Saccharomyces cerevisiae S288C: one gene and its partners. The protein of the gene in region 1 interacts with the protein of each later gene in a biochemical or structural test. Each region holds a gene or a part of one and is shown in the gene's direction. Other genes may lie near its edges. The genes, in order: RFA2, MEI5 and IME2.

The links.
Region 2: the proteins of RFA2 (region 1) and MEI5 form a complex in vitro, tested with the Saccharomyces cerevisiae proteins (one study listed by BioGRID).
Region 3: of the proteins of RFA2 (region 1) and IME2, one has a biochemical effect on the other in vitro, tested with the Saccharomyces cerevisiae proteins (2 studies listed by BioGRID).

Annotation. Positions count from the first base shown.
Region 1 is NC_001146.8:46,593-49,723, forward strand, and holds RFA2 (Rfa2p), read left to right. Parts: upstream 1-1,694; coding exon 1,695-1,701; intron 1,702-1,809; coding exon 1,810-2,624; downstream 2,625-3,131. Other genes in the region: tetratricopeptide repeat-containing protein EMW1, read right to left, coding at 1-1,430; putative SCF ubiquitin ligase complex subunit SKP2, read right to left, coding at 2,805-3,131. UniProt on the Saccharomyces cerevisiae protein: Binds to single-stranded sequences participating in DNA replication in addition to those mediating transcriptional repression (URS1) and activation (CAR1). Stimulates the activity of a cognate strand exchange protein (SEP1).
Region 2 is NC_001148.4:320,301-323,454, reverse strand, and holds MEI5 (Mei5p), read left to right. Parts: upstream 1-1,824; coding exon 1,825-2,493; downstream 2,494-3,154. Other genes in the region: VPS30 (beclin 1), read right to left, coding at 1-1,384; TFIIH/NER complex subunit TFB2, read left to right, coding at 2,688-3,154. UniProt on the Saccharomyces cerevisiae protein: Involved in meiotic DNA-break repair. Required for the recruitment of DCM1 to meiosis recombination hot spots.
Region 3 is NC_001142.9:219,842-223,951, forward strand, and holds IME2 (protein kinase IME2), read left to right. Parts: upstream 1-1,548; coding exon 1,549-3,486; downstream 3,487-4,110. Other genes in the region: YJL107C (uncharacterized protein), read right to left, coding at 1-175. UniProt on the Saccharomyces cerevisiae protein: Protein kinase which is essential for the initiation of meiosis and sporulation.

The DNA of each region.
Region 1 (3,131 bases):
AATTCTTCTACGAGGGATTGCATTTGTAAAAGTCCTCTTTCAATAGTTTTAGCCTTTGTTGTCTCAATAATTGACCTTTCCCATAATGATCGGGCGAAAATAGACCAATTTTTGTCACCGTTTTGATATAATATTCTAGAAAGCAAAGCAGTAAGTTCTTCTTCCACAAGAGGATCCTTGGCCGGAGTTGTGTTCTTTATGGTGTAAAGACGTAACAGCAACTGGATGTTGTCGTAATCAGATAGGGTAGGTTGATCGTTAGGGTTCAAATCCAGCAACAACTTTGGAATATTTTCTTGACGTAGTGCCAATGGCAATAGTTTATCTTCTTCATAACCTTCATTTAGGTCTACCTTTTGTCTTTTACTATAAATTTGCTCGTCTAGAGGTTCATCAGCAATGGACTCAAAATGAGGCTTCTCCAATAATAGATCGGACTCTAAAGCAAATGTTTCTGGTGTAGCAGATGTCGTTCTCAAAGCAAAATTTTGAAATGTGAAGGATTTGGCAAGAATGATCAAACCGGCATGAGCCTTTTGCTGATATTTAGTTCTAGTAGCGCGTGCACCCGTCATTACAAATTCAAAATTTGTTATCTTTTTCGCTCTGGTCAAGGATGGCAGGCACAAATGTTCTGTGTTGATGGCCAATGAACATTTGACATTCTCTAGATAGTACATTGCACAAAGTTCTCTTTTGAAATCTTCGTGAATACTCTCCGGTAATTCCTTAGTTATCGCATATGCAAGGTCAGCAGACTGATATATTGCAGATGCAACACTAGCTTGGAACCCAGAAGGTTCTGGAATCAGTGACAATTGCGTCAAAAGAGCTCTTGCCCACCACCAATAAGCTACAGCTAATAATCCAGGAGTAGACTCAGCAGAGATAATAGGTAGCGGAATTTCTTGATCCGGGGTAACATCAAATAAGCTTTTTTGGCCGGTTATCCTTTCAAGTAATAATAGTGATAAAACCAAATACAATGGATCATCCATAAATTCGTAGGCAGGCTGGCCCATAATGGCTAATGAGCGGGAAAGGGCTGTATTAACTGCTCCTATTTCAATTCCAGTTTTGCCAAACAAACCTGAGATTGCTTTCAACCTAGCTGCTGGGCCGGTGTAGTTATTTTGAATAAAGGTCTGTAAGAGGGCAATAGCCAAAAATAGCATCTCATTTTCTTGGCCCATTTTGAAAACCTCAACGTTAAGAAAGTCATTTAGAGCAGCAATAACACTAGATGTGGATATTTCTCCCGAAATACTAATTTTTCCCTTAAATTTGTCCACAAATTGCTGTACTAGCTGGTATGATTCACCACTGATGATATGTTCAGCCTTTTTCACATATGTCTGGTCGAAAGAACCACTTTTCAGAGATTCTACTTCTGCAGACAGCAATAATTTTGCATGCAATAACGTCTCCATAATTTTGCAACCACTAGTTTACTTTTTGCCTGGTCTGATAGCTTCTTTTTAGCAATTCCTTTGGCCTCGATGAGCTTCCATTTTCAATTTTCATCTTTTTTTTCACGATGCGAAGTTTCTTAGATAATTATCGCCATATACGAAACGCGTTAGGAAACGCGTTCTTTCCTTTATAATAAGCAATATTATATCAACTTAAGGTGGAAGTAATGTGGCAAAATCGATAGCGACTATCTAGAACAGGCTAGTTTAAGCATATACATAATGGCAAGTATGTATTAGTGCTAGGAATTGGAGGATTTGCTCTTTTCTGCATCATTTTTTTTATTTTTATTGGCGAATGTTAAAATTACTAACAATGGATGGGATTCCAATACAGCCTATCAACCATATAACGAATATTCATCAGTAACGGGCGGTGGCTTTGAGAACTCTGAGTCCCGCCCAGGTAGTGGGGAGTCGGAAACTAACACTAGAGTTAACACCTTGACACCTGTGACGATCAAACAAATTCTAGAGTCCAAACAGGATATTCAGGACGGCCCCTTCGTTTCGCATAACCAAGAACTTCATCACGTTTGTTTTGTAGGTGTGGTGAGAAACATTACAGACCATACTGCAAATATTTTTTTAACTATTGAGGATGGAACTGGTCAAATAGAAGTGAGAAAATGGAGCGAAGATGCAAATGACTTGGCTGCCGGTAACGATGACTCTTCTGGTAAAGGTTATGGTTCGCAAGTCGCCCAACAATTTGAAATTGGCGGTTACGTAAAAGTTTTTGGTGCTTTGAAAGAGTTTGGTGGTAAGAAAAATATACAGTATGCGGTGATTAAGCCCATAGATTCATTCAATGAAGTGTTGACGCATCACTTGGAAGTCATCAAATGTCATTCCATAGCCAGTGGAATGATGAAACAACCTTTGGAGAGTGCATCCAACAACAATGGGCAATCATTATTTGTCAAGGATGATAACGATACATCTTCCGGCTCCAGTCCGTTACAAAGAATTCTAGAATTTTGTAAGAAGCAATGTGAGGGCAAAGACGCTAATTCATTCGCTGTTCCCATTCCATTGATCTCGCAATCCTTGAATTTGGATGAAACTACCGTCAGAAACTGCTGTACGACCTTGACTGACCAGGGTTTTATCTACCCAACTTTTGATGACAATAACTTCTTTGCCCTATGAAAATATATAGATTATTTTTTTAGCATTTCTTAGTATTCGTTTGTGTATTTCTACTAGGTAAGTACCAAAATTTGCCGGAAATAGAGTGGAAAATGGAACCCGTTCCAAGAAGGGGTAAGATGCATGAATATTAAGTTGGTTGCATAAATATGCTATATAAAGTCCACTACAAAAAGTCATTTATTTTTGCCCGTAAGAATAAAGAACGAATCCGTCCTTATCTCTGACTTCAATGGGAACATTTACACGCAGTACGGGCTTCAATAATAGTTCCCAGTCGTATCTGGTTCTAGGTGTACATAATGAAAAATGTCTCAGCATTCTTATTTTGACAGCTTTGAATTTTGACAAATTTCTCAGGAAACACCAGAGGTTAATATTTGGAATATCTTTAAAATTCTCTGGATCTTGGAAATCATTGAAAAAATTTTCCAATGTCACATTTTGTAAGAACTCCTCCACATCTAAATCTCTATATTCGATGGTTCGGTTCTTCAATTTGATTAA
Region 2 (3,154 bases), on another chromosome or scaffold:
AATATGATGACGCTATCGTAGAAAGCTGCCGAGTGATTTCGCTTATTATTTCTAATGTTGTTTCTAATGATTTATCAAACTTCGTTTCCTTGCGGAAGATTCTCCCCAAATTGAAATTCTCATCATAGTAGACAGGCAGAATCAACCAATCACCGGGAGCGTTCGTAGTGGAATTATTATATTCGACACTGTTAACCATTCTTTTCTTGATTTTGGAAAATGAACCCATCGGTTGTAATTCGTAGTCTACTAAATTTATCTTCAGGTTTTTGTTTATGGTAGCCAGTAAAAGAATCAATTGGCCCAGTGCTGCATTGATTTCCTTCCAAGGTACCACTGATTCTGGTATACTGCCTAATCTCAATCCATTTATAGTGGCAAAGGGGCCGCTATGTGAGATTTTGAATGTAGCATTGAAAATATTGATTTTCCTCAACTTATCTAATTGATTCAAGGATAATTCGTATTGCAGTTTTAATGACTGTAAATTTTTGTTGAATTGAATGTTATTTAAATCCATTAAATTCTGATCACTCAGTTTTTGGAGTTTCTCATTTTCCAGTTGAACTTTCTTTTCTTGTAAACGAACTAGTTCTCCATCTAAGTCATCATCTGTCATTTCCAAACGTAATAATTGATCCAAGAGTCTTTCCTCTTCCTTTTTCAAATTTTCTTTTTCCGAAAGATTATGGGAATACTGCTTTTCTTTATTGCTTTCTGATATTTCTTTGTTTTGACTCTCTAACTTCGATAAAAATTGAGCGTAAGTATCTCTCTCTTTTATTGCATCATCATACTCACTTTTTAGTCTGTTTATCAAGATGTTACAGCAGTCCTGACAGATAGGAAAGTCTATGTTTGTTTGAGAAGATAGAATGTTAAATACATTAGTCATTGCGTTGACTTGTGTGGACAAAGTCTTGGAATTCAATTGTATTTGTTGGTTTTCGTCCTCATCCGTAGCTTCTTGTTCCTCTTCGTCATGATCTCGAAAGGTACTGGTTCCATCGGAAGTATCACTATTAGCTTTTTTATTATCATTTCCGTTGGCATTTCCATAACGCTGGTCCTCTCTGCTATTACTCGTAATATTAGCATTATCATCATCATCGTGATTAAGAAAAACAAACGAATCAGTGATTAATTTATCATCTTTTAAATTCAAGTCTTTTATGTTCTGAATCTCCCCTAATCGCCTCAGCCTCTCCTTCGGTATTTGAGGCCCACAATTATCTGCGGCTTCGATGCCCTTGTTGCTGATGACATTTTCATTCGTTGCAGTGATAATTGAATTATTTGAAAGTAGCAAATTTCTTTGGGTTAAACTAAGACCTTCTAAAGATGGGTCTAGTTGCAGGGGTAAGTGACATGTTTGGCACTTCATTTTAATGCCCGTGTCTGGGAGTCTTTGCGAAAACAGTGACTGCCATAAAACGTAACTGAACTACCTAATGTGCTCCCATAGCACTACCCTTTTACTTCTATGAGAGCAAAATCCCCAGGCGGGTGACACTTAAGTACTACTAATGAAGGTAAAAGGACTATGTAATTCGATTATACCACCAGTCCATACTTCCCGATAGTTGATTTAAAATACACCTGGTTCGAACTATTTCTCTCTTAGTTGACACTTTATATACCAACTTTCTATATGAAAGTGATCATTTTACTATAGGATTAGCCGCGGAAAAAGTATTAGCCGCCCAAACTTCTATGTACCTTCCGCATAAATAGGAAAGAAAACAAGAAACTTGAACTTAAAATACTTCCACATCACAAGTATACTTTCCAGGAAAAGCACCAAATTACAGTTATCTAATAGTAATGCACAATCAGGAAGAGTGGCTAGACAAGGACAAAACTTTGGTGAACGAAGAAGAAAATACTTGCATCAACCATTCTTATACAAAAAAGGACACTAATAACTATCGGGTCGGTAAAAGCGGTATTAAGGACTTGAAGAAGCCTACGAACCAGAAGGAAATTGCGATAAAAAATAGGGAGTTAACGAAACAACTTACTCTTCTCAGGCAAGAAAATAATCACTTACAGCAGGCTTGTAAAATTCTCAGCGAAAACAAGATCATTGAGAACAGAAAATCCATAGAAAAATGGAGGACAATTTGTGAGATGGAACTGTCTTTTATTTTAAATTCCACTTTAATCAAAATCAATAGAATGGGCGGCTATAAAGATTTTCTAGAAAAAGAAATGGAGGCTAAAAAGAGAAGATTGGAATATCAGATTGACAACGGTATGGAAGATCAAATCTGTGAAATAAAGGAAAGTGATGACTTTAGACAACTTTCAGAAGTTGAGAAACAAGAGTGGGAGAGTCAAATGAATGAACAGCTGAAAGAGTTGGAAAAAAAAAAAATAGCGGAGCTGGAAAAATTGAATAAGGTGCTGCATGATAGCGAAGGGAAAGATTTTGGAATGGCTGAACTATGCACTAGGTTAAAACTTGACTACAGCTTAATCTTTCCACAATGAAAAATGCGTAAAACGTTTATTCATCTTGCATTTCTATTAGGTACGCGATTACTGAAAAAACGAATGTATTTTTTTGTTGTAGCGCAAATTACGCACCATCATATATTCACATATAACCTAACTTCATCGTCAGAATACAATACTAGTAACTTAGCATTAAAAGCCACCATCAAAGGGAAGAAGTGAACAATATAATGAGTGACTATTCCCTGAAGCATTCGGTCACTCAGTATTTGGAAGAAATTCCTCAACAAGTTCAAAATAGGCTTTATACCTCACCAGCTACATGTCTGGCTATCTATAGAATTTTACCACCACTAGCTAAATTTTTTATCATGGCAATGGTTTTCAACGAAAATGAAGTACCTTTGTTGGATTTAGATAAATGGGTTAACTCTAATGGTAAATTGCAGTTTCAGAATGCAATCAAATCGATGAAGTCTTTGCATCTTCTTATACCAAATAAATCATCTGGTACTTTGATGATCAACCTAAACCCAACATTCAAAATCAGCCTGAGGAACGCATTAACGGGTGGGGAAGTTCAAAACTCATTCGGTGTGGTTGTAGAGGAAAACGTAGTTAGCCTGGACTTGTTGGATGAATATTCAGCTAATAAATGGGAAACAATATTACATTTCATGGTTGGCACTCCCCTCGC
Region 3 (4,110 bases), on another chromosome or scaffold:
AAATACCTAGATCACTGATGCTTTTACCACTTAAATTGCCTTTTTTGCTCTCGGCTGAATTGGAAGTGCGATGGTCACTACTATCTTCAAGATTCACTCCCGCTTGACTTTGCTCGGAGCTTCCCACCCGAAAATCTGACACAGGAGTGGTTGGTTTTTCATTTCTACCGTCCATTGTATAGCCTATCGGTTATTCGATCTTTTTTCTTTTGTTATTCTATATCTAAAAGATAAAAGTCGCACACCGCTAAGTAAGTAAGTAAGTGTTATATAAGATTTATTTAGCTACGTTCTCAGATATAGTAGGCTTAAAACAAACGTAAAACATAGTTATATATTAATATGCAATTCGGTTTATTTCTTTTTCAAGATTCTTCCGAATTTCGTCATATTGGGTTCGCAATTTTTGGCGATGGCTTTGCTTCGATATTTTTCGGATGAAAATAGTCAAAGGACACTAGAAACACGAATGGCGCGCTGATTACGGAGACGTCGGGCTAAGACAAAGAGGGTCCATTCGGCGTGCTGGTGGTACTGTGACAGATAAACCCAATGCCCCACTTTTCTCGAGGAGTTGAAACAAGCGGGACAACTGCTACGTCATAAAAATGGGAGTACCAAGGGAGGAGCCATAAGCCGGGTAAAATTTGGCGCTGTTTTTCTTAATCTAAAAATAGTTCAACAATAAAATTTGGGCTCCGCCCATCCAGACCAAAGCAATCTTCGGCCTTAACAAGCCAAAGGGAACGAAACCCAGACTCTACCATGCATTTCGAACATGTTGTAGCTAACTACACTGGTAACCCAGATACCTATTCTCTCAGTAGCTGTTTCACCAAGACTCCGCACTCATGGTAAGTAGAAAAAGAAAACTCTCACAAAAATCTGAGTGGCACAGCTTTTCCAAATACGCTTTTTAAACTTGGAGAAATAAAGATGTATTACCCGCTGGTGCCTTAAAATATCCTTTTCTCCGGTTGTCCAATAATTTATGTTACGGCGGCTATTTGAGTTTTTGTGGAAATCTCTATCATTAATAAATGTCAGCCTTGTGTCTTAAATGCAATTCAACAGGGAAAAGGCGCGAGACTTCGGCGGCAAAAAGCCACAGACAAGTGCTGGTTGCAAAGAGGTAAAGAAGTAATGTGTGTAATCAAATAGATATATTAAGGTAGCAACTCACCGGTCTGTCCATTTTCTTTTCCTGAATAACTTCTTCTGTCTTCACACATTCATTTCATTTTTATTTTCCAATATCACTCAACGAGAAAGAAGTTACAAGATCTATCTTTCAAAATAGTTTACAGTTACCTTTACTTTACCCTTTCCCTTTTCAGTTTGTTACCCCTTCTCCTAAAAGTTTTATTTTTTGGGTAAAGATATAAAGGACACTCCAGTCGGTTAAGGTGGCTGTCTAGAGAATATAAACCTGTATTTATTTACCAGGCTTATCAGAAAAGTTAATCGTGTTCTTAAATATTCATTGAAAAGGAACGTGATACAGACGTAATAAAAGAAGAGTACTAAGCTTAACTTAATAGGTCATTTATGGTTGAAAAACGTAGTAGACAGAGTTCCAGTAGTGGCTCAGAGTTCAGTGTTCCACCTGATGTCGATAACCCGCCACTTTCTATCCCTTTGAAGACTTTATCAGACAGATATCAGCTGATCGAAAAACTAGGTGCAGGATCATTTGGTTGTGTAACTTTAGCCAAAGCGCAATTTCCTTTATCGAACATATTGGGTAAACAACATGATATAAGGGGTACTTTAATGGATCAGCCTAAAAATGGTCACCAAAACTATATAACAAAGACACAAGGTGTAGTGGCTATAAAGACAATGATGACAAAACTGCATACACTCCAGGATTATACGAGGGTCAGAGAAATTAAGTTCATACTGGCAATCCCAGCGAATGACCATCTGATACAAATTTTTGAGGTCTTTATTGACTCTGAAAATTACCAATTACATATCGTAATGGAATGTATGGAGCAAAACCTATATCAAATGATGAAACATAGAAGGCGCCGAGTTTTTTCGATTCCTTCTTTGAAATCTATTCTATCGCAGATACTGGCTGGGTTAAAACACATCCACGAACATAATTTCTTCCACAGAGATTTAAAACCTGAAAATATTCTTATCACACCAAGTACCCAGTATTTTGAAAAGGAGTACATGAACCAGATTGGATATCAAGATAACTATGTCATTAAACTTGCAGATTTTGGTTTGGCACGCCATGTTGAAAATAAAAACCCGTATACGGCCTACGTTTCCACAAGATGGTATAGATCGCCTGAAATATTATTAAGAAGTGGTTACTATTCCAAACCTTTGGATATTTGGGCATTCGGGTGCGTGGCGGTGGAAGTTACTGTATTCAGAGCTCTCTTCCCCGGTGCTAACGAAATCGATCAGATATGGAAAATTTTAGAAGTTCTTGGTACACCTATCAAACGTTCTGATTTTGTTAATACAAACCACATCACAGCTCCACCACCTGGTGGATTTTGGGATGATGCCAGTAATTTGGTCCATAAATTAAACTTGAAATTGCCTTATGTAGAAGGTTCATCGTTGGATCATCTACTTTCTAGCTCCCAACTATCCGATTTATCTGAGGTTGTCAAAAAGTGTTTAAGATGGGATCCTAATGAAAGGGCAACAGCCCAAGAGCTTTGTGAAATGCCATTTTTTGAAAACACCGTGGCATCCCAAGTAGACGCAAGAGGCAATGTGACTAATACAGAACAAGCATTGATTTTTGCAGGTATAAATCCAGTAGCGACCAACACAAAGCCCATATATTTTAACTCTTCAACAAAATTGCCCGCAGAAACAGAGTCTAATGATATTGATATCAGCAACAACGATCACGATTCTCATGCTATGTGCTCACCAACATTAAATCAAGAAAAACTAACTTTGGTAGAATTTTTAAACGAATTCGTTGAAGAAGATAATGATGATCACTCAATACCTGATGTTGGAACAGATTCTACCATTTCAGATTCTATTGATGAGACTGAATTATCAAAAGAAATTCGTAATAATTTGGCCCTTTGTCAACTACCAGATGAAGAAGTCTTAGATCATTCATTATCGAATATTAGGCAGTTGACAAATGATATTGAAATTATAAATAAAGATGAAGCAGACAACATGGAACAGCTATTTTTTGACCTGGAAATTCCTGAAAAGGATGAGTTTCAGAGAAAACAACCATTTAATGAACATGCAGATATTGATGAAGACATCGTTCTACCATATGTGAACAACTCAAATTACACACATACAGATAGGTCACATCATAGAGGTGATAATGTTTTGGGTGATGCCTCTTTAGGCGATTCGTTTAATTCAATGCCAGATTTTACTCCAAGAAATTTCTTGATACCTACATTAAAAAAATCACGGGAAAAGTTCGAGCCTCATCTATCCAATTCAAACCAACATTTTGGAAATGTAACCTTCTAATAATTTGTCATTTGACTGACGAATCGTTAGGCACAGTTATATAGTTATATACACATAGACATACATATGTTCGCATATATATTATATTACTATGCATTCACCTAAATAGCTACTGCTCTATTAATACAGTGCTTTTTCGATGGCTTTAATTTAACTTATTAGACATTACTTTGCGTTTATTCCCCTCCAATATATTTTTATGTTTGTTTTTCTTGAACATTTTATGATTTCTTGCTCTTGGCGGCTACTGATTTTGTTAAGCAACTCATCAAGAGGTCAAAAAAAGTAGAACGAGATCTTTGTGTTCGGTTACCCGGCTCAGATCCTAACTTGGTATGTTTATTCGTATAAGTTACTGTTGTCCACAGGCAATACTCTGCAGAAAATTAAAACGGCATTAATGCTAGGACAACCAGAACTGTTACTACTGTATGTGCGATAGTTGATAACTGCAACATTATGCCCGGTATATTCTCAAAAAACCCTATTACTGCATACGAAGAAATCGCAAGAGAAATCTTTCGGTTTGGAAAAGCTCACTGTGAGGTTCCTTGGAGCCAATAGTAATACAGCACAATCCAAGGAAAAATCTGGCCTATATGCAAGGAAGGAGAGATAGTCAAA